7 linked regions of the Macaca fascicularis genome follow. The protein of the gene in region 1 purifies or fractionates together with the protein of each later gene. This does not show direct contact. Links are inferred from orthologs where the notes say so. Each region holds a gene or a part of one and is shown on either strand. Other genes may lie near its edges.

Evidence for each region.
Region 2: the proteins of HSP90AB1 (region 1) and TTC4 purify together in Homo sapiens (co-immunoprecipitation; 3 studies listed by BioGRID and IntAct, with this or other methods). This does not show direct contact. The link is inferred for Macaca fascicularis from reciprocal best matches to the Homo sapiens genes HSP90AB1 and TTC4.
Region 3: the proteins of HSP90AB1 (region 1) and AHSA1 purify together in Homo sapiens (affinity purification with mass spectrometry; 6 studies listed by BioGRID and IntAct, with this or other methods). This does not show direct contact. The link is inferred for Macaca fascicularis from reciprocal best matches to the Homo sapiens genes HSP90AB1 and AHSA1.
Region 4: the proteins of HSP90AB1 (region 1) and ERBB2 purify together in Homo sapiens (co-immunoprecipitation; 5 studies listed by BioGRID and IntAct, with this or other methods). This does not show direct contact. The link is inferred for Macaca fascicularis from reciprocal best matches to the Homo sapiens genes HSP90AB1 and ERBB2.
Region 5: the proteins of HSP90AB1 (region 1) and CHUK purify together in Homo sapiens (co-immunoprecipitation; 3 studies listed by BioGRID and IntAct, with this or other methods). This does not show direct contact. The link is inferred for Macaca fascicularis from reciprocal best matches to the Homo sapiens genes HSP90AB1 and CHUK.
Region 6: the proteins of HSP90AB1 (region 1) and SRC purify together in Homo sapiens (affinity purification with mass spectrometry; 3 studies listed by BioGRID and IntAct, with this or other methods). This does not show direct contact. The link is inferred for Macaca fascicularis from reciprocal best matches to the Homo sapiens genes HSP90AB1 and SRC.
Region 7: the proteins of HSP90AB1 (region 1) and PPP5C purify together in Homo sapiens (affinity purification with mass spectrometry; 6 studies listed by BioGRID and IntAct, with this or other methods). This does not show direct contact. The link is inferred for Macaca fascicularis from reciprocal best matches to the Homo sapiens genes HSP90AB1 and PPP5C.

Annotation. Positions count from the first base shown.
Region 1 is NC_088378.1:127,266,956-127,269,953, reverse strand, and holds part of HSP90AB1 (heat shock protein HSP 90-beta), read left to right. Parts: intron 1-391; coding exon 392-598; intron 599-701; coding exon 702-861; intron 862-1,043; coding exon 1,044-1,177; intron 1,178-1,310; coding exon 1,311-1,619; intron 1,620-2,066; coding exon 2,067-2,232; intron 2,233-2,435; coding exon 2,436-2,626; intron 2,627-2,748; coding exon 2,749-2,896; intron 2,897-2,998. UniProt on the Homo sapiens protein: Molecular chaperone that promotes the maturation, structural maintenance and proper regulation of specific target proteins involved for instance in cell cycle control and signal transduction. Undergoes a functional cycle linked to its ATPase activity.
Region 2 is NC_088375.1:179,943,024-179,947,054, reverse strand, and holds part of TTC4 (tetratricopeptide repeat protein 4), read left to right. Parts: intron 1-282; coding exon 283-497; intron 498-2,348; coding exon 2,349-2,430; intron 2,431-4,031.
Region 3 is NC_088381.1:145,412,795-145,417,583, forward strand, and holds the start of AHSA1 (activator of 90 kDa heat shock protein ATPase homolog 1), read left to right. Parts: upstream 1-1,723; 5' UTR 1,724-1,869; coding exon 1,870-1,949; intron 1,950-3,262; coding exon 3,263-3,453; intron 3,454-4,789. Other genes in the region: VIPAS39 (spermatogenesis-defective protein 39 homolog), read right to left, coding at 998-1,009. UniProt on the Homo sapiens protein: Acts as a co-chaperone of HSP90AA1. Activates the ATPase activity of HSP90AA1 leading to increase in its chaperone activity.
Region 4 is NC_088390.1:60,788,611-60,792,250, forward strand, and holds the end of ERBB2 (receptor tyrosine-protein kinase erbB-2), read left to right. Parts: intron 1-189; coding exon 190-336; intron 337-1,048; coding exon 1,049-1,146; intron 1,147-1,321; coding exon 1,322-1,510; intron 1,511-1,796; coding exon 1,797-2,049; intron 2,050-2,190; coding exon 2,191-2,546; 3' UTR 2,547-3,070; downstream 3,071-3,640. UniProt on the Homo sapiens protein: Protein tyrosine kinase that is part of several cell surface receptor complexes, but that apparently needs a coreceptor for ligand binding. Essential component of a neuregulin-receptor complex, although neuregulins do not interact with it alone.
Region 5 is NC_088383.1:109,147,590-109,151,620, forward strand, and holds part of CHUK (inhibitor of nuclear factor kappa-B kinase subunit alpha), read right to left. Parts: intron 2,189-4,031; coding exon 2,127-2,188; intron 844-2,126; coding exon 734-843; intron 72-733; coding exon 22-71; intron 1-21.
Region 6 is NC_088384.1:93,513,628-93,517,873, reverse strand, and holds the end of SRC (proto-oncogene tyrosine-protein kinase Src), read right to left. Parts: intron 3,895-4,246; coding exon 3,741-3,894; intron 3,586-3,740; coding exon 3,454-3,585; intron 3,164-3,453; coding exon 2,955-3,163; 3' UTR 929-2,954; downstream 1-928. UniProt on the Homo sapiens protein: Non-receptor protein tyrosine kinase which is activated following engagement of many different classes of cellular receptors including immune response receptors, integrins and other adhesion receptors, receptor protein tyrosine kinases, G protein-coupled receptors as well as cytokine receptors.
Region 7 is NC_088393.1:54,404,018-54,408,048, forward strand, and holds part of PPP5C (serine/threonine-protein phosphatase 5), read left to right. Parts: intron 1-2,416; coding exon 2,417-2,564; intron 2,565-3,267; coding exon 3,268-3,389; intron 3,390-4,031. UniProt on the Homo sapiens protein: Serine/threonine-protein phosphatase that dephosphorylates a myriad of proteins involved in different signaling pathways including the kinases CSNK1E, ASK1/MAP3K5, PRKDC and RAF1, the nuclear receptors NR3C1, PPARG, ESR1 and ESR2, SMAD proteins and TAU/MAPT.

The sequences.
Region 1 (2,998 bases):
TCAAGATAAGGGGCAATCAGATTTGAGGCTGAGAGAGGTAAACCAAGATTTTCTTTGAAGACACGGGCTTTAAGAAAGCAAAAGTGACCGAGCGTGTTGACTCACACCTGTAACGCCAAGGCAGGAGGATCACTTGAGCCTAGGATTTCGAGGGCAACCTGGGCAACAGCCAGACCTTGTCTCTGCAAAAAATTAAATATTAGTTGAGCACAGTGGCATGTGCCTGTAGTCCCAGCTACTTGGGAGGCTGGGGTGGAGGATGGCTTGAACCAGGGAGGTCAAGGCTGCAGTGAGCTGTCATCCTTGCTACTACTGCACTGTAGCTTGGGCAACAGAGCAATTGCCTGTCTCGGAGAGAGCAAAAGTAAGTTGCTGTTTGTATTCGTTTCAGGCCTTGGACAAGATTCGCTATGAGAGCTTAACAGACCCTTCGAAGTTGGACAGTGGTAAAGAGCTGAAAATTGACATCATCCCCAACCCTCAGGAACGTACCCTGACTTTGGTAGACACAGGCATTGGGATGACCAAAGCTGATCTCATAAATAATTTGGGAACCATTGCCAAGTCTGGTACTAAAGCATTCATGGAGGCTCTTCAGGTACTGCAGTTCTGTAGGCATACACCATTCATATTCATCAGTGTTCTTTATTTTTTTTGCTGCTTTAAATTTTGTGTTTGACTTTACAAAAACTTGTTGGCAGGCTGGTGCAGACATCTCCATGATTGGACAGTTTGGTGTTGGCTTTTATTCTGCCTACCTGGTGGCAGAGAAAGTGGTTGTGATCACAAAGCACAACGATGATGAACAGTATGCTTGGGAGTCTTCTGCTGGAGGTTCCTTCACTGTGCGGGCTGACCATGGTAAGTTAGCTTTTCTGTTACAAGGTAGCTGGGTTAGAGTTTTGTGGGCTCACCAGTAGCAGAAATTTTGAGCATCCTGTCAAGCAGTTCTTCATAGCAGTTCCGCTAATACTTTATTAATTTGGTAAGTCTCAACTGCATATACTTTCGCCCTGTTACACGCTTATGATTGACTCTTCTAGGTGAGCCCATTGGCAGAGGTACCAAAGTGATCCTCCATCTTAAAGAAGATCAGACAGAGTACTTGGAAGAGAGGCGGGTCAAAGAAGTAGTGAAGAAGCACTCTCAGTTCATAGGCTATCCCATCACCCTTTATGTGAGTATGGACTTTTAAACCTTTTACACTTAGCGTGCAGGATGTTTCCTGTTCTGGAGAATCTCGTGGTCCCTGGCTTCTGCTTTTCCTGGTGTTTTGTACTCCAAGGCTAATTTCTGTTTTTCTTACTTAGTTGGAGAAGGAGCGAGAGAAGGAAATTAGTGATGATGAGGCAGAGGAAGAGAAAGGTGAGAAAGAAGAGGAAGATAAAGATGATGAAGAAAAGCCCAAGATCGAAGATGTGGGTTCAGATGAGGAGGATGACAGTGGTAAGGATAAGAAGAAGAAAACTAAGAAGATCAAAGAGAAATACATTGATCAGGAAGAGCTAAACAAGACCAAGCCTATTTGGACCAGAAACCCTGATGACATCACCCAAGAGGAGTATGGAGAATTCTATAAGAGCCTCACCAATGACTGGGAAGACCACTTGGCAGTCAAGGTGAGAAGCCTTTGCATGTTGGGTCAACATGCAAATATGGAGAGGAATAAGTGGAAGAGTGTTGGCAGGTAATAGACACATGGAACGTGTCCAGCTGATAACAGAAATGTGAGAGCTATGTATTTTCACTTACTGATTACCCGGTCATAGTGAAGTGCCATCCTTCCTAATGACCTCACTTTCTCTAAAGGAAATCTGGGTAATGTCTATTGGCAGCCTTACACATCCAGAGTTCTGATCAGAGCGGACTGTTTTCTATATACAGCTAGTATTCGTCTAGATCGTTGAGGGCATTAAGGCTCAGTTTTCTCGGGAACTGCCTGTGTGTGCGCTCTATCCGTTAGGCTTATGGGGAGGATCATTATTCCATTTTTAGGTAATTTGGTGTTGGGGCTAAAAGGCCCTCTTTTGAAATGTATCACTTGCTTATTTTTTGTTTTTTTTCAGCACTTTTCTGTAGAAGGTCAGTTGGAATTCAGGGCATTGCTATTCATTCCTCGTCGGGCTCCCTTTGACCTTTTTGAGAACAAGAAGAAAAAGAACAACATCAAACTCTATGTCCGTCGTGTGTTCATCATGGACAGCTGTGATGAGTTAATACCAGAGTATCTCAGTGAGTATCTCCTTGGCCTAATTTAGTTGGGTGAAGTCTTGGGAGGTTTTCGGCATTCTGCCAGAATATCCTAGGTTAAGGATTTTCTGCAATGCATAGTAAGTATAAGGGTTCAGGAGGCTATTAGAGCCTTCTGTTTGAATCTGGGTACCAGCTCTGGTCTAGCTATTTTTACTGAGCTTTCTTATCCTGGTTGATGGCAGATTTTATTCGTGGTGTGGTTGACTCTGAGGATCTGCCCCTGAACATCTCCCGAGAAATGCTCCAGCAGAGCAAAATCTTGAAAGTCATTCGTAAAAACATTGTTAAGAAGTGTCTTGAGCTCTTCTCTGAGCTGGCAGAAGACAAGGAGAATTACAAGAAATTCTATGAGGCATTCTCTAAAAATCTCAAGGTAAAGAAGCAAATGCTTATTCCCTTTACCACTTTCTTAGTAATTACTAACAAATTTTTCCATTCACATAGAAAGTGAATTGTAGTTAAGTTGGATTGTTTTTTCTCTTCCCACCCTTCAAGCTTGGAATCCACGAGGACTCCACTAACCGCCGCCGCCTGTCTGAGCTGCTGCGCTATCACACCTCCCAGTCTGGAGATGAGATGACATCTCTGTCAGAGTATGTTTCTCGCATGAAGGAGACACAGAAGTCCATCTATTACATCACTGGTGCGTTGGTTCTGATGGAAGCCTTTTTGGAGGAGTGGGGAGCACATTTCAGGGCTACCTAGGAACTGGCAGTATGAGGCATTTTAGTCACTGAGTCCATTT
Region 2 (4,031 bases), on another chromosome or scaffold:
GTCCCTCGGAGCTCCCATTGTTACGGTTTTTTTCTTTTTTTTTTGGTGTTTTAAAGATGTCCATGTTCATTCAGGGTATGGATGGGGAAAATTAAATTAAAAATAAAGTTAATTGTGCAGCCTGGACGATATAGTGAAACTCTAGTCTCTTCAAAAAATAAAAATAAATAAAAAATAAAAAAATTAGCCAAGTGTTAGGGTTTCTTTACTTCAGTAAAATGGGTTTGCATCCTCCCACACAATAAGATGTGCATTATGTGTGTGTTTCTGTCTTTAACCCAGGCTAGGAATATCAGGCTCTCAGAAGCTGCCTGTGAGGATGAAGATTCACCCTCAGAAGGTCTAGGTGAGCTTTTCCTGGATGGACTCAGCTCTGAGAACCCCCATGGAGCCAGGCTGAGTCTAGATGACCAGGGCAGGCTGAGCTGGCCTGTGCTCTTTCTGTACCCAGAGTATGCCCAGTCGGACTTCATCTCTGCTTTTCATGAGGACTCCAGGTACTGACTTGCCCAGGAGCCCTCTGCTTTTACTTGCATGCTGTCTCTTTTTGTGACAGGAGGGACAAGTGGATTTTTGGTTGAGAAGGGAAGATAATGGTTTAGAGGGTTTCACACAATCTGGTGTGAAATCTCTCTATCCTGTAGCTGACTGAACCTTGACTGACTAGGTTTGCAACGACAGACAAAAGTCTCATCATCGTACTGACTGGGCTAGTATGTGTAACACCACAGTATTGTGTTTGCCAAAGAGTGGTATACATCACTGGTGAAATATGAAGTCATTTTAGGTAATACATGCATAGCAACTTAAGTGAATATTAATTAGAAAAAAAATAGAGAGACCGGGCGCTGTGGCTCATGCCTGTAATCTCAGCACTTTGGGAGACCAAGTCAGGCAGATTACTTAAGGCCAGAGTTTGAGACCAGCCTGGCCAATATGGTGAAACCCAGTCTCTACTAAAAATACAAAAAATTAGCTGGGCGTCTGTAATCTCAGCTACTCAGGAGGCTGAGGCATGAGAATCACTTGAACCTGGGAGGTGGAGGTTGCAGTGAGCCAAGATCATGCCACTACACTCCAACCTGGGTGATAAAGCAAGACTTTGTCTCAAAAAAAAAAAAAAAAAAAAATATATATATATATATATATATATATGTATGTATCTTGTGATTTCATAGGGTTAATGCATAGAATAAGTCTAATTGTAAGACAATTTTTTTTTGTAATCTTTTTTTTTTTTGGAGACCAGGTCTGGCTCTGTTGCCCAGGCTGGAGTCCAGTGGTGTGATTATGGTTCATCATAGCCTCCATCTCCCAGGCTCAGGTGATCCTCCTGCCTCAGCCTCTCAAGTAGCTGGAACCACAGGTGAACACCACCACATCTGGGTAATTTTTTAATTCTTTGGTAGACACAGAGTCTCTCTATGTTGCCCAGGTTTGTCTTGAACTCCTGGGCTCAAATGATCCTCCCACCTCGGCCTCCCAAAGTACTGGGATTACAGGCATGAGCCACTGCACCCGACCAGAAATGTTTTTAACCCTGAATCTGTTTAAAGAAAATTATGTCAGCTGGGCACGGTGGCTCACGCCTGTAATTCCAGCACTTTGGGAGGCCAAGACAGGAGGATCACTTGAGGCCAGGAGTTCAAGACCAGCCTGGCCAACATGGCAAAATCCCATGCCTACTAAAAATGTAAAAAATTAGCCAGGCGTAGTGGCACATGCCTGTAGTCCCAGCTGCCTGGGAGGCTGGGGCACGAGAATCGCTTGAACCTGGGAGGTGGAGGTTGCAGTGAGCAGAGATCGTGCCATTGCACTCCAGCCTGGGTGACAGAGCAAGACTTTGTCTCAAAAAAAAAAGAAAAGAAAATCCTGTCAGTCAGGTGCAGGGCTCACACCTGTAATCCCAATACTTCGGGAGGCTGAGGCAGGAGGATCATTTGAGCCCAGGAGTTTGAGACCAGCCTGGGCAATATAGGAGACCCCCGTCTCCACAAGAAAAAGAAAAAAATTAGCCAGGCATAGTGGCATGTACCTGTAGTCCCAGCTACGCAGGCGGCTAAGTTAGAGGAATTGCTTGAGCCTGGAGGTCGAGGCTACAGTGAGCTATTATGCCACTGTAGTCTAGCCAGGGTGACAGAGTGAGACCCTGTCTCAAAAGAAAAAAAAAAAATGTCATAATAGGACAAGTGATACATATGCACATTTTGGGTATTGCTGTCAAATAGGTTAAGCCTGCATTTCATGTTTTACACATGCTAGATAACTTTGAATTAGTGTCTGGGGACTGATGTGGGAAAATTGGTCATGAGTTATTGATACCCAGAAAGTACACATTTTATCTTTAGGTTTATTGATCATCTAATGGTGATGTTTGGTGAAACACCCTCTTGGGACCTAGAGCAAAAATATTGCCCTGATAATTTGGAGGTAAGAGAAGTTTTATTTCATTCCTCTATGGAATTAATTTTTTTTTTTTTTTTTTTTTTTTTTTTTTTTGCGGTGGGGGGAAGGCTGGTAGAGGGAGGAGAAACTGACTGCTTTTTTTTTTTTTGAAAATTATAGTAAAATATACATGACATAATATTTACCATTTTAACCATTTTTAGGTATATAGTTCAGTGGCATTAAAGAACATTCACATTGTTGTGCAACTATCACCACCAGCCATCTCCAAAACTTTTTCATCATCCCAAATTGAAATTCTAAGTACTTCATATAAGTGGAATCATACAGTATTTGTCCTTTTATGTCTGGCTTATTTCACTTAACATCGTGTCTTCAAGTTTCATACATATTGTAGCATGTGTCAGAATTTCCTTTTTTTTTTAAATTTTTGAGACGGAGTCTCACTCTTTCACCCAGGCTGGAGTGCAGTGGTCTGATCTTGGCTCACTGCAACCTCTGCCTCCCAGGTTCAAGCGATTCTCCTGCCTGAGCCTCCTGAGTAGCAGGTATTACAGGCACGTGCCACCACACCCAGCTAAGTTTTGTATTTCTAGTAGAGATGGGGTTTCACCACATTGGCCAGGCTGGTCTCGAACTCCTGACCTCAAGTGATCCACTCATCTCTACCTTTCAAAGTGCTGGGATTACAGGTGTGAGCCACCACACCCAGCCAGAACTGTCTTCCTTTTTATTTGCTTTTATTTTTTGAGACAGAATCTTGCTCTGTCACCTAGGTTGGAGTGCAGTGGTGCAATCTCAGATATTGCAGCCTTGCCTCTAGGGTTCAAGTGATTTTCATGCCTCAGGCTCCAGGTAGCTGGGATTACAAGCATGCGCCACCATACCTAGCTAATTTTGTTTGTATTTTTAGTAGAGATGGGGTTTTGCTATGTTGGCCAGGCTGGTCTTGAACTCCTGGCCTCAAGTGATCCACCCTCCTTGGCTTCCTAAAGTGCTGGGATTACAGGCGTGAGCCACCATGCCCAGCCAGAATTTCTTTCCTTTTTAAGGCTGAATAACATTCCACTGTTGGGATTTTTTAAATAAAAAAATCACAATTTCCAGCATAAAGAATTTTCTTTTTCTAACATTTGAGAGTAGGATGCCAACTGATGTCCCATCACCCCTGAATACTTTAGTGTGCATTTCCTACACGAAAAGACATTTTTCTAATAATACCCATATAGCTATCAAAGCAGGAAATTTACTTTAATTCACTGCTACCGTCTAACCCTCCGTTCGGGTTTCACAAATTCTTTATAGCAAAAGGGTTTTGTTCAGAATCACATACTGTATTTAGTCATCATGTAGCTTTAGTCTCCTTTGGTATGGAAGAGCTCCTCAGTCTTTCCTCCACTTTTTTTTTACTTAAAAAGTTTGCATTCATATTTTTGTGATCATGTGACTCAACTGCAGTACACTTTCTTGATCTTAACACCTTTGAAGATTACAGATCACTTATTTTGTGGAATGTCTGTCAGTATGGGTTTGTCTCATGTTTCCTTCTGGCTAGATTTGGATTATACATATTTGTTTGTTTGTTTTGAGACAGAGTTTTACTCTTGTTGCCCAGGCTGAAGTGC
Region 3 (4,789 bases), on another chromosome or scaffold:
TGGGATAAAGCTAAAAAAGAAAATATTTTTTAGCAATCCTAAAAATTAAAAAAAATACAAAAATTCTGAGTGGCCACAAATGCTGAAGATGTGCACAGAACATATAAATGTCTCTGGCACACATGTCAGTTCATAAATCTGTCATTCATTTGATCCTCAGAACAATCTTGTAAGGTAGGCCTGGGAAATTCCATTTCCATGTTACTCACGGGGAAAGGGAGGCACAAAAGAGTTCAGTATCAAAGCCACCTTGTTACGTGCTATTTCAAATTACAATCCAGGCTTTCTGGCTTCTAGACCATTTCTAGTGTCCTGCATGGTCCTTCTATCTATTTTTCACTCTCTGGAAAACTAGAGATCATTCCTTCACTATAGTAGTTATCTACAAATAGACATAGAATATGTCTAACAAACACAATAACCTGCCAGAGGATTTCTGGAAATCTTTTAAACCATGCAATGGCAGTAGACACCTGCCATCAATTTGTATTTATAACGCCAAATGAGAAGCTAGGTTTACTTGACAAGTATAGATAATGATCTAATAGCTCCAGAGTTATAAGTAATCAGGTACAATCTTAAGAGTGACAGGTGCTTCAACATGATTTAAAACACTTCAGAGGTTTATCTTTGTCGTCTCCTGTTTACTGACAGACCACAAGGCAGGGTGAGGGATCTCAGGGGAGAACAGGAACTTTACAAAAGAAAACAGAAGGATCAGCAAGAAAACCACAACATCCTCCCTGCCTCAGAAAACTCCAAAAACCAGCTTCTGAGAAAGTCAGACTTGGTTTCAATTATCTTCCGAGCCAGGAAGATACAGGTGAGGCTTGTGAACTGAGACCAGGGAACATGAGTTAAGCTAGGATGACTCTACGGGTGAACGTCCAGGAAGCCATGGATCTACCGCAGTCGTCAGAGCCCAGCGGATCCCTGGCAGAGTTAAATGCTCTTTCTGAACCAAATGTCCGCTTCCGAACCAATCGTTGGTGCTTACTCGCAGCCCCATTCCCAAGCGTACTCCAGCGCCCAAGGGTCGCCCTGACTGAAAGAAGAGAATCAGGCCTGTGGTCGTAGGATGTAGGGATGCCTCCTAGAAGAGGGGAAAAGATCAAGATGCGGAGAGGCTGGACTCAGCCAGATAAGCGACCCAAGGGGCTTGGGACACCCTCACCTCTTACGCACAGAGCCCTCCCTCTCAGGACTGCGTCAGCCTCCGCCGCCGCTGGAACAGCCTCTCTTTTCAGGCTGTGCAGCTTAGAGAAGGGGGCAGAAAGGAATAATCGCGCGGCGGGGAGAAAACGCGAATAAAGAGGCCGCAGGGCATGCTGGAAGTTGTAGTTTCTTCTGCCTCTGCTGTCAGGCGCCGTCCCGATGAACCACAAGGCTTCTTGACTACAGCCCCCAGAAACCCCACGCACTGTGCTAGGTCATTTCCTCTCCCTTCAGGGCGACCTTCCGCGGTTATGCAGCGGGTCACGTAAGAAGACTACAAGTCCCATGAGGCTCAGCAAGGCCGATTTAGGGTCCAGGGAAACAATGAGACGTGTTCTTTGTTTTCCTATGGGTGAGGAATGGTTGTATGAGCAGTTGGGTTTCGGGACCCTTTTTGGGGAGAACCTGAGGGAGTCCGAAGGAACACTAAATCAGATGGAACCCACGGTGCGGCGAGTTGGGACGGAAGTAGCCGGTGGAAGTGGGGAGGAGCCGGAAGTTAAGAAGGGGAGGGGGTGGAGGGAAAAGCAAGCCAGGAGGTGCTTGCGGCCGCTTCTAGTAGTTTCCAGGCGCTGCCGGGCGGCTGGCACTAAGCGGTCCTGAGGCTGTGGCTGCGGCAGCTCCGGAGCTGGTGGCGCCGCGATAGGAGAGCTGATGGCGAAGTGGGGTGAGGGAGACCCACGCTGGATCGTGGAGGAGCGGGCGGACGCCACCAACGTCAACAACTGGCACTGGTGAGGGCCAGCAAAGCAGGCCGGCCTTGGGAGACCTGCGGCCGGGCCAGGGTTCCAGGGTTCCTGGAACCTCGGACCGGACAGAGCTGGGGCTGAAGTAACCCTGTCCGGAGATGGGGGCGGGTCCTTCCTGTGGCAGGGGTCCGTAGCCCCAGGCCTCTCCACTCCCCGGCCACCTTCTCAGTGCTTGAGGGGAGGGAGATGGACGTGGAGGGCAGCGCCCCAGAGGAGGGTTGTCAGAGAGACTGGGAGATAACGCCCTGGCTGCTGCATCCAGCCCGAGCAGGGAGGTGCTTACTACACGTGGCCAGAGGAGTCACTGAGACTGGAACCTCTTTTGATTGTGTTGGGAGACAGCTGTGAAAGGCCTAAGGCCAGGGGTCTGTAATTCCTGTTTTGCGGCTTGCAGTAAAATTAAAAGTCATTCATAGGGGACCGCTGCAGCAGTCCCGCGGGAGATTGAGAACGTGTTGTGCAGGTGCTCAGAGCTCAGATAGCTGCGGCCTCTCACCCGGAACTGTCAGGTCAGGTGTGTTGGAACTCCAGGTTGCCGAGCAGCCGTGGTTTTATAACCTGTCCGTTCTTAAAATACTGCCCCGCTTCATGAAATCTTCCCAAAGTAATGTTTCCTTACTTTTGAATTCCACTGAATTCTGTTCATAATGTTTGTATTGTACCGTTACTTTGTTGCAGCTTTCTTTGCTGTTGTTTTCTCTAATAGTTGATAAGCAGGAGGGCAGATAGTGATGTTTCTTTTCCATATCTCACTTTGTGTTCTCTCTTCTAACATGCAGAGTAGTTGACCTAATTTTTGTTGTTTTGAAGCCCTTGTCTTAACGTTTTTGTGGCCATCTAGGGGGCAGTGAATGTGTAGGAAGTTTATAATACAAGTGCGAATCTGATAGGTCAGAACACTGTGCCAGTGAGGTCAGGGTTATTGGTTGAATCCTTTCTGGGCCTTTTAGCTAAGTACTATTTTTCCATGGTCCAGTCTGTGTTCCTGATCAGAGCAATATGTGCAGTTTTCCACTTGGTCAAATGGGGGCGCCATGTTAAAGTATCAAGTATTCTCCAGCACCATCATGCCATTGAGTTTATACCATTCTCTACAGCAGCTGTCTTTGTTGACAGTGTGCAACCCCTTGTCTTCCTAGAAAAGGGTGACATGTTTGTGGACATACTGGAGTGGGACTGGGAGTTTTTGTGTTCCTTTCAAACTATTTGTCAGGCCTCCTTTAACCTCGTATTCTCTTGCATAGAGCAGTATATCCTCCATTTGACTGCTAGTTCATAGCTTTGTTTCTGCTTTGCAGGACGGAGAGAGATGCTTCAAATTGGTCCACGGATAAGCTGAAAACACTGTTCCTGGCAGTGCAGGTTCAAAATGAAGAAGGCAAATGTGAGGTGACAGAAGTGAGTAAGCTTGATGGAGAGGCGTCCATTAACAATCGCAAAGGGAAACTTATCTTCTTTTACGAATGGAGCGTCAAACTAAACTGGACAGGTAAGTCTAAGCTGGGCTGTCAGAGAGATTAACTGTGTTTTGTTTAACCTGTTAAGTAGCTGGAGAGAACAGTTTTGAGGAGTTACAAACGTTGAAGGGAGAAGACAGATGTTGCTGCTTTGCAGTCCTATGTAAAGCAGTATTGGGTACTGAAATTTCTTTGCCATTGTGGGATGCTAAATGGATTTCCTCTCTCCGGGTCTCATCAGTCCCACCCATGAAGTGGCTGGGCCACTGCATGTTTGGGCCTTGGTCTTTGTTGGAACACCTAAGGTGATATTTCTTCAGACTAGCTACATGTATCTCGTGAGTGATTTAAAAGAAGGAAGGAGGGGTTTTTTTGTTTTGTTTTTGTTTTTGTTTTTGTTTTTTTGGTCTTGATCTTTTTTTTTTACTCTCCTCAGTGTGACTCTAACAAATTAAAAAGAAGCTTGTGTGTGACAGTAATTTGGGGCTGTTTTATCTCTCTTCTAGTTTTGTGTCCCTTCTGTATGACATTAGGAAAAAATTGAGGTCATGCGTATGCCCGTTTTGGACAGTCCTGACTGTCGAGAGCCTGAATGTAAAAAGACAATAAAGTTAAAGGAGTATGAGATAGCTACTGTCTGGGTATGAGGCAAGGCATGAAATTTGTGCTTTGATAAACATTTCTAAAGTGAATAGTCTTATCATAAAAAAGGGTGAAAGTAGATTTATCTGTCCTTGATTTTTGTTCATTTGTTTTTAAAGTACACTTGAAGCATAGTAGTATGGAAGGAATCTTTGGTGTCATTTTGCCCAGACCCCCCCTTTTTTTTTTTTTTTTTTTTTTTTGAGACGGAGTTTCACTCTTGTCGCCCAGGCTGGAGTGCAGTGGCGCGATCTCTGCTCACTGCAACCTCCACTTCCTGGGTGCAACCAATTCTCCTGCCTCAGCCTCCCAAGTAGGATTACAGGTGCCTGCCACCACGCCCGGCTAATTTTGTATTTTTATTAGAGACAGGTTTCACCATGTTAGTCAGGCTGGTCTCGAACTGTGTCTGGCAGACACTTTTTTTTAAAATATAGGCACTAAAAATTGGTAGCATAGTTTTGTGCACATTAAATGGTAAGAAATAGATAAATACAGGCCAGGCGCGGTGGTTCATGCATGTAATCCCAGCACTTTGGGAGGCCAGGGCGGGCAGATCATGAGGTCAGGAGATTGAGACCATCCTGGCTGACACAGTGAAACCCCGTCTCTACTAAAAATACAAAAAATTAGCCGGGCGTGGTGGCGCGTGCTTATAGTCCCAGCTACCCGGGAGGCGGAGGCAGGAGAGCTGCTTGAACCCAGGAGGTGGAGGTTGCAGTGAGC
Region 4 (3,640 bases), on another chromosome or scaffold:
ACCTCAGCATGTGGAGGGAGGGAAGGGGCTGCCTGTGCCCCACCTTGCAGGGTCTGTGCACTTCCCAGGATTAGGGAAAGACTGGGTAGATTCTGTCTCCTGGCATCACATCTCCCCCCTGCTGCCATGATGCCAGACTCCTGGGCAGAACCTCTGGCCCTCCCACTCCTGACCCTGTCTCTGCCTTAGGTGTGACTGTGTGGGAGCTGATGACTTTTGGGGCCAAACCTTACGATGGGATCCCAGCCCGGGAGATCCCTGACCTGCTGGAAAAGGGGGAGCGGCTGCCCCAGCCCCCCATCTGCACCATTGATGTCTACATGATCATGGTCAAATGTGCGTGGCTGAGCTGTGCGGGCTGCCTGGAGGAGGGTGGGAGGTCCTGGGTCGAGAAGCCCACAAAGGGCATGAAAGGGGACCAGGATGTATGTAGACCCAGGAACCCTGGTATATTAGGAGCCTCAAAACCTTCTCATATCCCTTTTACAGTCAAAGTCCAAAGCCACTCTTGAGGAACAACTAGAGAACCTTATGTACAATATTAAGCTGGGCACAGTGGCTCATGCCTGTAATCCCAGTACTTTGGGAGGCTGAGGTGGGAAGATCCCTTGAAGCCAGGAGTTCAAGACCAGACTGGGCAACACAGTGAGACCCTATCTCTACAAAAAATAAAAAAATTCGCTGGGTGTGGTGGTGTGTGCCTGTAGTCCCAGCTACTCGGGAGAGGCTGAGGCAGGAAGATCACTTGAGCCCAGTTGAAGGTGGCAGTAAGCTATGATTGCGCCACTGAAATCCAGCCTGGGCGACAGAGTGAAACCTCATCTCAAAAAAACAAAAAAGCAAACAAAAAGAAAAAATATTAAAAGGGAAACTAGTAGAGATGCCCGAAGGTTCTGGCTGAAGCCCCCAGAGTCTGGTACTACTTCTCTACCACCAAGGGCTTTGGGCTGTCCCTTGGGACTGTCTAGACCAGACTGCAGTGGGAGTGGGAGGGGAGGCAGCAGGCACACAGGGCCGGGGCTAGATGCTGGCCTCCCTCCTGCCCCAGGTTGGATGATTGACTCTGAATGTCGGCCGAGATTCCGGGAGTTGGTGTCGGAATTCTCCCGCATGGCCAGGGACCCCCAGCGCTTTGTGGTCATCCAGGTACTGGGCCTCTGTGCCCCATCCCTGCCTGTGGCTAAGAGCACCCTCCTGCAGAGGGTGGGAAGGAGAGATGAGTCCGGTGTGTCAGGCCCCTCACCTGCTATGAGCCTTCTTCATGGAAGGCTGCATGCTGAGCTGGGGAGGGGCCACCATCCCACCTCTCCTTCCTCCGCAGAATGAGGACTTGGGCCCAGCCAGTCCCTTGGACAGCACCTTCTACCGCTCACTGCTGGAGGACGATGACATGGGGGACCTGGTGGATGCTGAGGAGTATCTGGTACCCCAGCAGGGCTTCTTCTGTCCAGACCCTGCCCCGGGCACTGGGGGCATGGTCCACCACAGGCACCGCAGCTCATCTACCAGGGTCAGTGCCTTCGGTCACACTGTGTGGCTGCTTACCTCCTCCATCCCTGGTGGACTAGGGTCCCTTTCTCTGATGTTCCCTCAACTGTCACCTCTCAAGGAGACCCCATTATCCCTACAAAAAATTCTTACTGCCTTCCAACCTCTGTGACCCCATTCTCTCCACGGTGATTGTGTCGTACCCCAAAGGTGACCTGTTTTTCTCCTGTGACCCTGTCACCTCCCATGGAGTCCCCATCCCAGATCCATTAAGTGACTCCCATCATGACTTACTTTCTTGTCCCCAGAGTGGCGGTGGGGACCTGACGCTAGGGCTGGAGCCCTCTGAAGAGGAGGCCCCCAGGTCTCCACGGGCACCCTCCGAAGGGACTGGCTCTGATGTATTTGATGGTGACCTAGGAATGGGGGCAGCCAAGGGGCTGCAAAGCCTCCCCGCACATGACCCCAGCCCTCTACAGCGGTACAGTGAGGACCCCACGGTACCCCTGCCCTCTGAGACTGACGGCTACGTTGCCCCCCTGACCTGCAGTCCCCAGCCCGGTATGGAGTCCAGTCTAAGCGGAGAGACTGATGGGCGGGGTAGGGGGGACCCTCAGCCCAGGGTCCACTGTGGGGGCAGAGGGAGTGGCAGCGACACCGGGGTTCCTTCCCCTAATAGGTCATCTTCTCTTGGCCTTTCAGAATATGTGAACCAGCCAGATGTTCGGCCACAGCCCCCTTTGCCCCAAGAGGGCCCTCTGTCTCCTGCCCGACCTACTGGTGCCACTCTGGAAAGGCCCAAGACTCTCTCCCCAGGGAAGAATGGGGTTGTCAAAGACGTTTTTGCCTTTGGGGGTGCTGTGGAGAACCCCGAGTACTTGGCACCCCGGGGAGGAGCTGCCCCTCAGCCCCACCTTCCTCCTGCCTTCAGCCCAGCCTTCGACAACCTCTATTACTGGGACCAGGACCCATCAGAGCGGGGGGCTCCACCTAGCACCTTCAAAGGGACACCTACGGCAGAGAACCCAGAGTACCTGGGTCTGGACGTGCCAGTGTGAACCAGAAGGCCAAGTCCGCAGAAGCCCCGATGTGTCCTCAGGGAGCAGGGAAGGCCTGACTTCCACTGGCATCAAGAGGCGGGCGGGCCCTCCGACCACTTCCAGAGGAATCTGCCATGCCCAGAACCTGTCCTAAGGAAACTTCCTGCTTGAGTTCCCAGATGGCTGGAAGGGGTCCAGCCTAGTTGGAAGAGGAACAGCACTGGGGAGTCTTGGTGGATTCTGGGGCCCTGCCCAATGAGACTCTAGGGTCCAGTGGATGCCACAGCCCAGCCTGGCCCTTTCCTTCCAGATCCTGCATACTGAAAGCCTTAGGGAAGCTGGCCTGAGAGGGGAAGTGGCCCTAAGGGAGTGTCTAAGAACAAGAGCGACCCATTCAGAGATTGTCCCTGAGACCTAGTACTACCCCCCATGAGGAAGGAGCAGCAATGGTGTCAGTATCCAGGCCTTGTACAGAGTGCTTTTCTGTTTAGTTTTTACTTTGTTTTGTTTTTTAAAGATGAAATAAAGACCCAGGGGGAGAATGGGTGTTGTATGGGGAGGCAGATCTGGGGGGTCCTTCTCCACACCCACTTTCTCCATTTGCAAATATATTTTGGAGAACAGTTAGGCACCGGCCTATGTCTGGGGGTAGCTCTGCACCATCCCTTCCTGCTCACCTTACACTCAACTCCTCTTTTCCTGGAGGGAGTGACCAGGAATCTTCAGAAAGCTTGGATGAGGAGCCTGACATCCAGTTCTCTAGCTTCAGGGTTGGGGGGGATCGGGAAGCTGGATTCGGATCCGAGAGCCCTTTAACAACCAGATCATTCTTTCTTAGAACGAATTCCTAAGGCCACTCACCAGAATGGGGTTATTTCCTCCTTGTGAGTCAGGAGAGTGGCGGTTGAGTGGGCGAAAGACGAGGCAGGGTCTACTGTGGGACTCATTTTCCTTGCCTTGGCTATGCCAGAGGAGCTCACTGACCTAAGGAGTAGCTGTCCAGAAAGCCCACCCAAGCCAGCACAGCCACCCTGGCGGTACAAAGGCTGGGCCGGCCGGACTTCTGTGCCCCCCACATTCCCAGATTGGACATATAAAAACACACACTAGTT
Region 5 (4,031 bases), on another chromosome or scaffold:
ACTGTGATAGAAGTGTCTTACCTGAAGGTCTGTGTTTTAACTGCTTATATAGATCAATAGCACGCTGTTCCCTGTAAAAGAGAAAACATGCTCTGATATGTGAAGGTAATTTAATGACTTCAATAATCTACAACTTGAAACAATATTATTTTATTTGAATAATGAACCCATTTTAAAGCAAGTTCATATTGCCAACGAGTATTTCACAGAGCATTTTATTGAGTAATAAGAACTACACAAGTTCTTAAAATGCAAAGTTTAATATAGTTCATATCTATTATGATCTACCATGAGGACATCTCTGCACCAGAGACACTTAAACAGACAAAAATTATGACCTATAATTAGAGAAAATATCTGAAGTTTTTAATCCAGAACTTTAATTAAGAAAAAATCTCAAGTTTTAGGGCATTTAAGAGTCAATATCTTGGACCAGAGGTACTATGAGTAGGGAAACAGTTTGTAACTTAGTTATACTTGGAAAATTCTTAACACTCATATGAAATAAATGCTTTTATTCAAAACCAAAAAAGGCCAACCCAAAGAATTATTTCTGAAGTTTCCTGTGACTAAGAAAAAGCTTCCACTTTAAAGATAATCCCAATATATTTGGGGAAAGGAAAACTAGAGAAAAGAACCACATAGAGGTTTAATTTGCCAGATGTAAGCAGAAAGAACAATATGCTACAAAATATAACAGATGTCAAGACCAACAACACAAGTACATCCTTACAGAGATTCCATCAAGTCTCCCTGACGTCTTCCATAGGGGCTCTTCTGTAGCTCCATGATTTCAGCATGCAAAGACATAATCTGATCCTCCAGGTATCCAATGACACCAACCTAAAATATGATGAAAATACAAAGGAAATGAAAGGCTTACCACTACATCATTGGAAACAAAATTCAGATCTTAAGGATACAGAATGACCTGCTGCTTCATTAGAGAACTAAATAATATAATATGAAACACTGATATTGTTAAAGCCTTTCTATTCTTCAGATTCTGACACTTAATCCTTCACATAAGAACACACTTATTCTTAGTCTTCTCTCTTTTCTCTCCTGACAACAGTAAACTACTAGTATTTGCTTTTACCTCTGGAGAAGCAAAAAGGTACAACAGGTGTCAACTAATAAGAAAGACCAAAACCACTGGTATTACTTGTATCTTGGCTCTATGATTTTGATTGCCTCCTGGCCCCCACTGCCTTGAATAGGGACACAAAAAGATAAAGACCTTGGATTTCCCACCCCAGGACACCATGGGTATTCCCACCCACATCCTCAGGGTAAGTACTGACATTAAGGAGTGTAATAACTTAGGACCATGGACAAATGTACAGGATAAGGGGAAGAAAATCTGCCACCTAGAGAATGATCTATACCTAGGGACACCATATAATTTATTGTCCAAACCAGTGTCATTTTGAGAGTGAAAGGGACTACTACTGATAATTATGGCAAGATATTAGGTATAAACTGGGACAGTCCCACTAAACCCAGATGTGCAGCCATCCTATCTAAACCAGTCACAAAAATAATACTGACTCCCATTTAATCTTCATAACCCTACTAGAAAAGAAATTGTGCCCATAATATGGAAACTAGCTGGATGTGGTGGCTCATGCCTGTAATCCCAGCTCTATGGGAGGCTGAGGTGGGAGGATTGCTTAAGCCCAGGAGTTTGATGCAAGTCTGGGCAATATAGTGAGACCCTGTCACTAATAAAATGTAAAAATTAGCCAGGCATGGTGGTGCACCTCTTGTCCCAGCTACACAGGAGGCTAAGATGGGAGGACTTGCTTGAGCCTGGGAAGTTGAGGCTGCAGTGAGCTTTGATCATGCCACTGCACTCCAACCTGGGCAACACAGTGACCCTGTCTCAAAAAATAAATAAATAAATAAAGGAAACTGAAGCTTAGTAAGGCACTAGGTAATTTTCAAAAAGCCCTTGTTTTTAATCACTATGATACCTCCCTCTTTATATACAAAGCATCTACTAGAATTTTGTCTGAATTTCGGGAATGACATGAAAAATGCTCTTTATATACCAAAACCAAAGACAGTTTCTAATGGAGACATCAAGAATTAATAAGTACACAGAATGTGGTCAATGATTTTACCTCAGCATAGTGGATGGCCTTTTCTTCCATTTCTTTCCATGCTTTTAGCATTTTTTCTGAAGCTAAAAGAAAAGTCTAAATTGGTTATCTCAGAAATAGCCATATCTTTAATTACTGGCCTGCCTGCCTCCTTGCCATATCAACATCAAAGATGTGTTATGAGTTGAATTGTGGCCCCCCAAAAGATATGTGGAATTCCTAACCCCCAATATCTCAGAATGTGACCTATTTGGAAATAAGGTCATTACAGAAGTAATTAGATAAATTAATACTCATACAGGAATGGTCTGGGCTCTTAATCCAGTATGACCAGTGTACTTAGAAGAGACGAGACACAGGATACAGATACACAGGGGAGAATGCTATGTGACAATGGAGACAGATTAAGGTGCTGCAACTGTAAGCCAAGGAATGCCAGTGATGGCTGGCAGACCATAAGACCATAAGAAGCTAGAGAGAAACAAGGAAAGATTCTTCTCTGCAGATTTCAGAGAAAACATGGCCCTGCCAACACCTCGATTTTGGACTTTTAGCCTCCAGGGCTGTGAGACAATAAGTTTCTATTGCTGAAGCCACACAGGTTATAGAACCCTTAGGAAATGAATACAGATGACTGTTTTCTTTCTTTCTTTTTTTTTTTTTGGGGAGATGGAGTCTCACTGTCACCCAGGCTGGAGTGCAGTGGTGCAATCTCAGCTCACTGCAAGCTCCGCCTCCCAGGTTCACACCATTCTCCTGCCTCAGCCTCCCAAGTAGCTGGGACTACAGGCGCCCACCACCATGCCTGGCTAATTTTTTGTATTTTTTAGTAGAGATGGGGTTTCACCATGTTAGCCAGGATGGTCTTGATCTCCTGACCTCGTGATCTACCCGCCTCGGCCTCCCAAAGTGCTGGGATTACAGGCGTGAGCCACTGTGCCCGGCCGACTGTTTTCTTAAAAAAAATATGTATATCAGTGTGGAGATAGGTGGATAAAGGAAAAACCAATTTTTTTTTTTTTTTTGAGATAGTGTCTCACTCTGTCACCCAGGCTGGAGTGCAGTGGCATGATCTCGGCTCACCGCAACCTCTATCTCCAGGGCTCAAGTGATCCTCCCACCTCAGCCTCCTGAATAGCTGAGGTGTGCACCACCATGCCCGGCTAATTTTTGTATTTTTTGTAGAGATGGGGTTCTACCCCACATTGCCCAGGTTAGTCTTGAACTCCTGAGCTCAAGGGATCCACCAGCTTCGGCCTCCCAAAGTGTTGAGATTACAGGCGTGAGTCACCACACCTGGCCAGAAAAGAAATTTAATACTTGAATGTGATTTTTAAAAATTAAATACTATAAAAGGATATAAACAGAAAAGACTCTGTCTTCCTCCCTTCTACCATCCACCTCAAGGGACCTTACTATGATTATTTGTTACACAGACACATACCCTGCTCCCTCGCAAGTGAAACCACTGGTATACTCTCTATTTTTTCCCACAATTTAAAACTTTTCTGTCAACTAAAGACCCAGGTGATCTTTTAATAAAGCACATACAGATCTACCTCATTCTTCTTTAACAATTGTATAATAAGCCTTTGACAAGTCTAAGGTATTTTAATGAAATAATTATATTTTATCACTTGCCAGAATGTCAATAATATACAAATAGAGATAAAATAACAATATTATTAATAAAACCAGTTCTGGAGAGTAAATTCATTCACCCAACTGGACACTATTGATTGTTTATTCTGAGATACACATACTTTGCTCAGGACAAGTGTACAAGCAGTATTTGTTTCCTAAAAAGGATTTGTTTTATAAAAGAAAACAGAAATGCTGGTAGTGACTCCTTCAATTTACTCATATTTTAACTCTGTCTTTTTACATTTCCTTAGTGCATCTGAAGGAGATAAGCTTGGAGTCAAA
Region 6 (4,246 bases), on another chromosome or scaffold:
TCATCCCGTTAATGCCCAAGCACACACATCTGGGACACATCTCCATGAGCCCAGGCTCACAGACCACCTAGACAGCTGCTCACACACAAACATCCAAACACCATGTCTGCGAACAGAGCCCACGCACATACTCCCATGAACAGAAAGGCACACGCATCCAGGTACGCTCCCACCAGCAAGCAGAGAACACCTGCCACAACCTCACATCCAGATCATCTCTACTCCAGAGACACGCACACCCACACACACACCCCTGTGATCTCCAGATGCCACCCTGACCCGGACACTATGATTTGTTGAAATTCGTTTTTAATTAAGCGATGTTGCAGCCAGAGTTGACTCCGGTGTACAGGTGTGTGATCTGATGTATATTTGTGTAAAATAAATGTGTTCGTATAGACAGTTGCAAATCAACCTTCAAGACTGCGTGCTTTGGTGGTGGGGAAGGAGGGAGGAGGGGAAGGGTCTTTGGGTGTTTCTTCAGCATTTTCAGGACTTTTGTGGATCAATCCAGCACCCCTGCCCTGCACTCCTAGGAAACACGTGAAGAGCACACACAGTGGCATTCTTGTCGTGTATTTGTGATCTCCTATAGGCAGGCCTGACAGCCCCACCCACTCCCCAGTGTCACTGCTACCATCCACCACGGACATTTGAGTCCTGAACTTGTCATGCTCGGGGAAGTCCTGTGATGTGCCTTGTCCTTCTCCCAGGTGCTCACCCCCAAACACAGGTGCAGATGTGCACAAACAGCCACATTCTGCCGTAGCTGTCTCCAGTCTGATCATGTCACCCCTGCCTTGGCCTGAAGCCCTCCAGCTACTAGTACTGCCCAAAGACCCCTCGAGGGGCAGTTTGTTCTCGCATATTCCGCCCCATCTCGCTCTCCAGCACACAGTAGATGTTCAATAAACTGTTGATCAAATTCTGAGGTCTGCTTGTGTTTAATCAGACAATATGCAAAGTATTTACAACCAATTCTGGATACCCCCACCCCCCCATGTCTGGGCCTTGGAATTTGGGACCCCCAGACCCGGCCCAGAGCCAGGGGTCCCCCAGGCCTCTGCATAGTCATCTGAAATCTACAAAACACTGTTTAAAAAAAAAAAAAAAAAAAGGACAGTATTAAGACACCTTACACAAAGGGCCTTAGGCAGTTGGAGAGGGATTTGAGAACTCGCTGGGGTGAGTGAGCCCAGACTTGACTGGAATGGACGGGAGAAGACTTGGGTAATAAACATGTACGAAAGGAAAAGTTGAAATTTCATAGGCAGGCACTGCTTGACCTCCTTCCCCACTGGCAGGGCCTGGCTGGCTCAAGAACCCTTGGCAGTGGGAATGTTATTGCTATGACGAGGGGGCCATGGTGAAATGTACATGTTTGGGGGACGGAGCAGGGGGGGCATTTTTACATGTTAAATATGGACGCACATGGAGACACACACACATGCACACGCACACACACACAGGGACCCTTGGCAAAATGCCACAAACTGTCAGCTGCCCCTTTACACATGGGCACACTGAGGCCCAGGGAGAATCTACCACACACCCTAAGGCTGAACAGAGCCAGAGCCCAGTCTCCTGACGTCCCAGGGCTGGGCTCACCATGGATGTCCTGCCAGAGGGCCTGGACTGGAGCTGAGCAGTTGCAGAGGCCATGGCCACATGTGGGGCAGACGCTGCAGCCCAGAGAGAAAGCAGGGGCCACCCAAGGTTACACAGCCAGTCCTGGTGCATGGCAGTGGGTAACACGTCCTCTTTCACCCCTGCCTAGGCACTCTTTTCTCTCCTGATGAGTTAAAGGGTGCCAACTTGGGGAGAAGAACAGGGCCAGGAATTGAAATGCCACAGGACAAAGTACGGGGAAGGAGGCCAGGACCAGGGCCTCCTGGACTCTTGGCTCTTCTATGTCTGTTTGATTGCCTCCAGAGCCCCGGGGCTCACTCTCTTTCATGGCCGGCTGGCTCTGAAGGTCAAAAATCACCCACAAGCTGATTGAAGCCTCTCTCTCCACACTTGCACCTTTCACCCTGATTCCCAGCTCAGCCCCACATCTGCCTCCATGCTGTTCCCGACAGCTGGGCTGAGCAGGCAGCGGCAGTGGGAATCTGCCGTCTCGAATGCATCCTCAGACCCCTTGTCTCCTGGACTGTCCCAGTCTTTCCATGATTCCTCTGACGAACTGTTGGTTCCTGAGGAAGACAGAGGGAGCACCAGGTTCCAAGCCCACCTCCACTCTGAACTGCTCCGTAGCCTTGGGCATGTCACATCCCCTCTCTCGACTGCCTCCCCATGGGTGAAATGGGGGCAAGGAAGTGATGATCTCAAAGGGTCCATCAGGTCTAAGGAGGGCAGGGTTTGAGGGGGTACTCATCCCACCCACCCACCATCATCAGGTCAGGCGAGGCCTCGTGCTGCCCAGCCTGGGAGCAGCGGCAGAGGGTCTGTCTCGGCAGCCTCCGCCTACAGGTGTTTCCAGAACGGATGGCGAGGGGCAGGGTGGCAGGCAGGCAGGGCCAGGGCCCTCTTTGGAAAGGCTCTTTGGCCAGCTCTCGACATAGACCGGCGGTGGCACAGAAGTGGGGAAGGAGTTCAGTGAGTGGAGTAGGCTGAGGCTGGAAAAGGGCACCCTCAGCCCCGGACCCAGCCCTTCTCCCGGTTCTTCTTCCAGAGACCCACAGAGCTCCAGGAGGGAGTGCGGGGAGGAGCGTGCGGCTACAGCGGGAGCCGGACAGAGTCACTGTGCTGGTCTCGCACGCCTGCCGCCCTCTCGGGCCACCCTAGGTCCAGAAGCCCCTTCCATGCCACCAAAGAGGGAGGGGCCTCGCCCCTGACAATTCAGCCCCACAGAGAGAGGACCAACAGCAGGCAGGCAGAGCGAGGCAAGCCCCGAGACAGGGGCCACCCAGCCCAGAATCCAAGCCGAGAAGCCGGTCTGGGCCCGCCTGCACCTAGAGGTTCTCCCCGGGCTGGTACTGGGGCTCGGTGGACGTGAAGTAGTCCTCCAGGAAGGCCTGCAGGTACTCGAAGGTGGGCCGCTCCTCAGGCTCCTTCCGCCAGCACTGGCACATGAGGTCGTGCAGGGACTCGGGACACTCCGGTGGGCAGGGCATCCGGTAGCCCCGTTCCACCTGGTCCAGCACCTCGCGGTTCACCATCCCTGTGGGCAGAGCAAGGCATGGGGAGCCCGGCTCCAGTGAGGAAAGTGGGGTGGGGGAAGCTGATGGGGAGGACAGCGAGGGCTTCCTGCCTAGGACAGGTTGAGTGTGACCATAGGTAGGTCCTGTCCCCGAAGCTGAGAGCATGGACCATCGGGAGAGCCTAACATCAGATGCTCAACTTCTTTGTTGTACGGATGGGGAAACGGGCCCAGCAGGAGTCATGACTTGCCCAAGGCCACCAGGGCAGACGGGTTTGGGGACTAGAGACGGGCCATGAGGACCTTCTTACCAGGGTAGGGCACCCGTCCCTTTGTGGTGAGCTCAGTCAGCAGGATCCCAAAGGACCACACATCCGACTTGATGGTGAAGCGGCCATACAGGGCAGCTTCCGGAGCTGTCCACTTGATGGGGAATTTGGCACCTGCAGGAATGAGAAAGGTCGGGGCAGCTCTGACCTCCTGTCACAACCACTCTGGTAGATAAGCACCATGAGGAATGACAGATGAGGAAACAGACTCGGAGCGGGACGTGACCTGTCCCAGGCCAAGCGCAGCATACCACACAGTCCCTGCTCACCTTGCCGGGCCGTGTACTCATTGTCTTCGATGAGCCGAGCCAGCCCGAAGTCAGCCACTTTGCACACCAGGTTCTCTCCCACCAGGATGTTGGCTGCACGAAGATCCCGGTGGACGTAGTTCATCCGCTCCACGTATGCCATGCCTGAGGCGATCTGCAGGTGGAACCGCGGGAGCCCGGCTCAGGTGCCACCCATGCCCTCCCAGGGCCACATAGCACCCCGGGGCTGGAAAGCCAACCACCCCTTCCCCACCCTCCCCACACTTCTTCAGGCAAGTGAGGTCAGTTCACAGTAAATGCTGTTGGCATCGAAAGCAGGAGCAGTGCTCTGCGGGAATAGGGAGCACAGGGCAGAGGGTAGAGGGCAAAGGTCAAAGGGAGGCACAAGATTAGATGCAGCCAGGAAAGCGAGGTGACCATGGAAAGAGGCCCCAGCGGACCCAGACACAGATGAGTGCCAGGTCCTGCCTGCTGCCCAAGTCTCTCTGAGCCTGTTTTCTCATCCG
Region 7 (4,031 bases), on another chromosome or scaffold:
CCCGCGCTCATAACCACTGCCCCACGCTGCCTCCCTGGAGGGCGTGCAGTGTGCCCTGAGGCCTAAGCAGGGGAGGTGGCAGAAGGGGAGCCCCTCCCAGCGTGCATGGCAGAAATCAGGAGCCTGGACTTTGGCGCAGGTTAGCCTGGAAGAGAAGGGAATCCTGGCTTCTGGGTGGGCAACTTCACCTCCCCGGGCCTTGGTTTTCTGTCTGTCAGATGAGGATTGTGAAAACACTGCCATGTAGAGGTGCAGGGAGGATAAATGAGCAAGTGAATTGCTCACACGGTATTAGGCGCATAGTCAGTGCTCCAGAAGTGAGCTGTGTATTATTACTGCTTCCGCTGCCCCTGTTGCTATTCCCACTCCCTTTCTCCTGCCTGCACTGTTATTGTTTGCCTTCATCTTCCTTCCTAGCCCGCCCGCCCCCGGAGAATAGGAGAATAGGAGACTGGCGGGGAGGAAATGCTCAGTCACTCATTCATTTGTTTGGAGAAAGAGGGGAAGGGAAATTCATTCACTGCTGCAAGCACAGCTATGGCTGAGCCTCAGCCCTGCCCTCACAGGGCCCCCTTCCAGTGCGGTGGACAGACCGGTTCCCAGCAGGGCTCATGGCTGGAACAAGGGAGCCCAGGGGCCTTTGGGAGCCCAGAGAGGTTGCCTGACCCAGCCTCTGGGGCTTCCTAGAGGAGGGGACAGTGGGGCTGAGACCTGGAGGAGGAGGTGGAGGTGCGAATGAGGTGCTCCGGGCAGGGGCAGCCTGCACAAAGGCCCGGAGCCAGCACGCTGGGGACATGAGTGGTCTGGCTGGGAGGTATAGAGGGGTGGGAGGAGCCGCATGGGCCAGGACACATGCTGATTTGGACACCAGCCGGGTGTGCGCACATAACCGCTCCCCATTGGGAAGGATGCCAGGGGCTGCCTGGTGCTATCTTCCTCCCCTGCCTTACACCCACCCACAGCCCAGGTGGAGCTGCCTGGCAGGGTGCCCTGGGCCTGCCCAGACAGGGAGGAAGCCGTGGCCTGCTAGGCATGGGCTCTTCTCACCCCGCTTGACACACACACCTGTTCCCAGCGTGGATGAGCCTCACCCCTCACCTCTGTCACACCAGCCTGCAGGGGTCAGTGGGTGTCTCTGGAGGTTTCTGACTCACACTGCCAGGCTTTCCACCAGAGGCCACCCCTGCTCCTTGAGGGCCGGCCCTGGGGCCTCCCAGTCTGTCCTCTGGCACAGGAGCTGTGGGGGTCCGCTCCTGGGGAGGCTAAGGCTGGTGGGCAGGTCAGACAGGGTCTACATGACTAAACTGAGACTCAGAGAGGTGAAGTCACTTGCCCAAAGTCACACGGCAAGTAAGTAGCAGAGCCAGGATCCGAATCCAGCTCCCAAATCCAGTCTGCTTTTCAGGTTAGAAGATCCGAGTTTGCAGGAATTGGAGTAAATAAGATGGGGAGAGGGGAGAGGATAGGGCTCCCTTCACTGGGAACTTGCTCTGTCCCAAAGCCGAGCGCCCCACGCCTATCATCTGATCTGGTCATCAGCGCAGCAGCCCCAGAGCGGGGACCGTGAAGAGCAGTGGGCGCCAACGTGGAGTTTCCTTTCACCTGGCACCACTGTGCAGAGTTCACAAGATTCACCCGTGCAGCTCTCACCGCGGCCTTCTGAGGGAGACACGGTTCTCAGTCCCACCTCAGAGGGAAACTGAGCCACAGAAGCAGACTCACCTGCCTGAGGTCACCCAACTCATGACCTACAGAGCTGGGATTTGAACCCAGTGTCCGGGATCTGTGACCCTCAGTTCCTCTCTTCAGTGGACAAAACAGGGAAATCCTTTGTCCCAGGCCTCCCCAGAGGGTGAGCAAGAGAAGTGACAGCACTCAGTGTTGCTGCCCGCCTGCCCCTGCTGCGTGCCAGGCCTTGTGTGTTACTTATTACTTCCCACAGCCCTGGCAGGGGAGCCCTGTGTCACCTCCCTGTTAGAGATGAGGTAACCTGGGCTTGGGGAGCCCATGTCGTCCAGCAAGTCATTGGCCCTTTGCGGGCCCTTCCTCTCATCCTCCTGCCGCCTTGGTAGTCACGATAGTAGCATCAGGACATGTGCTTGGGACGTCGCTCGCCCCACAGGGATTCTTACAGGGCACCCTGAGCCCATAACCCTCAGACAGGCAGTTGTTTGATTTTAGCGCACTCTTGGCTAAGATTGATGAAGTGCACCCGTGCGGGCAGCTTTGCTGTACCCAGTTTTGGGGTGCAGAAATCAAGGCTCAGAGGTTAAACATGTCCAGGGTTGCACCGTCAGCACCTGGCGCCCAGGCGGTCTGACTTCCGTGTTCATGGAACCCAGGGCTGGGCAGCCTGGGGGCAGCCGCTGTACCCCCACCTCAGCCTCAGCGTGCACACTCCTTCCCTCCCCACCAGGTTGTCAAGGTGAAGCCCCACGACAAGGACGCCAAAATGAAATACCAGGAGTGCAACAAGATCGTGAAGCAGAAGGCCTTTGAGCGGGCCATCGCGGGCGACGAGCACAAGCGCTCCGTGGTGGACTCACTGGACATCGAGAGCATGAGTGAGTCGGGCCCGGGCGCGCCATGCTTCAGCCCAGAACATTCCACGCGGGCCCTCTTCATTCCCTGGGGGTGGGGGTGGGCTCAGGGGTGGCCCCTTGTTCTGTCCCCAGCCTACTGTCTGTCACTCCTCTGCCTGTGTTCCAGGGCACTCCATCCACAGCCCAAAGCAGGGCCTCACGTTTCCCAGTGAGCAAGACTGGGGAGCCGTGGACCCACTGCCAGTTCACGGGCCCTCCCTCTGGGTAGTAGCACAGGCCCCACAGGCTGTGTCTGATTCACCTCTAGGTGCTGAGAGGATCCAAGTGATTGTTCTGGATCATCCCACAGATGATTATTGAGCATCTCCTATGTGCCGGGCACTGTCCTAGGCACTGGGGGTACAGCTATGAACAAAGCCCTCCCTGTCCTCATGGAGCTGATATTCTAGGAGGGAGATAAGATGATGAACAAGTCACGAAATGAATAGTGCTAAGTGCCATAAAACTGAATAGGGTAAAAGGATGTGGGTGAAGGTAGAGAGGGAGGTCAGGAAGAGGCCTCTGGGCCAGACCTGACCCAGGAGGGGACTCTTCACTTGCTCCGTCCCTCTCTCAACCTGTGTGTCCAGAGCCAGGTTTGCCCCATCCCTAGGAGCGAGACCTCTTCCCCACTCACAGTGGCTGTGGTCACTGACTCTCGTGTCCCCCCTCGTTCACACCCCAGCCATTGAGGATGAGTACAGCGGACCCAAGCTTGAGGATGGCAAAGTGACAATCACTTTCATGAAGGAGCTCATGCAGTGGTACAAGGACCAGAAAAAACTGCACCGGAAATGCGCCTACCAGGTAATGCACCTGTCAGGTACCAGGCACCCGGGAACCCTGGGGTGGCATCACAGTGCTGCCAGCCATGGGCACTGAGCAAAACGACAGGAGGAGGGCGGCAACGACAGGAGGAGGGCGGCCACGACAGCCAACACTGAGCAGGAGTCGTGTGCCAGACACCGTGCCAAGGGCTTCCCACAGAGTCTCATCTCATCCATCCCACAGCAGCTTGGGGCGGTGGCGGGCAGTGCCGTTTGACAGATGCAGGGACAAAGGGCCAGAGAGGTCAGGGTGAAAGGTGAAGAAGCAGCGGAGTCTGTTGCTTGGAGTTCTCATCCCAGGCTCTTGGGCAGCTGTGGCTGCTGGTTGTTGCAGGCTGTTTGGGACCTGATGGTGGCTCCTAGTCCTGAGACCATCCCCTCCTCCGAACCAGGAGGGCAACTGGCCACAGGGTGTTAACTGGTTGAGTGAGACTTGGGCTCTGGTATCCTATCTGGACAAGGCCCCCTGCCCTGACCTATCAGGGACTTTACCATAATTTGGGGGATCTGCCGAGATCCACCACCTCCTGGGTTGGTTGTGAGGATGCGGGACTTCTTGTGAGTCAGGTTGACAGGCAGGTGACCCTTACAGGAGTGTGCAGGCCATGTGGGAAGCTGCCAC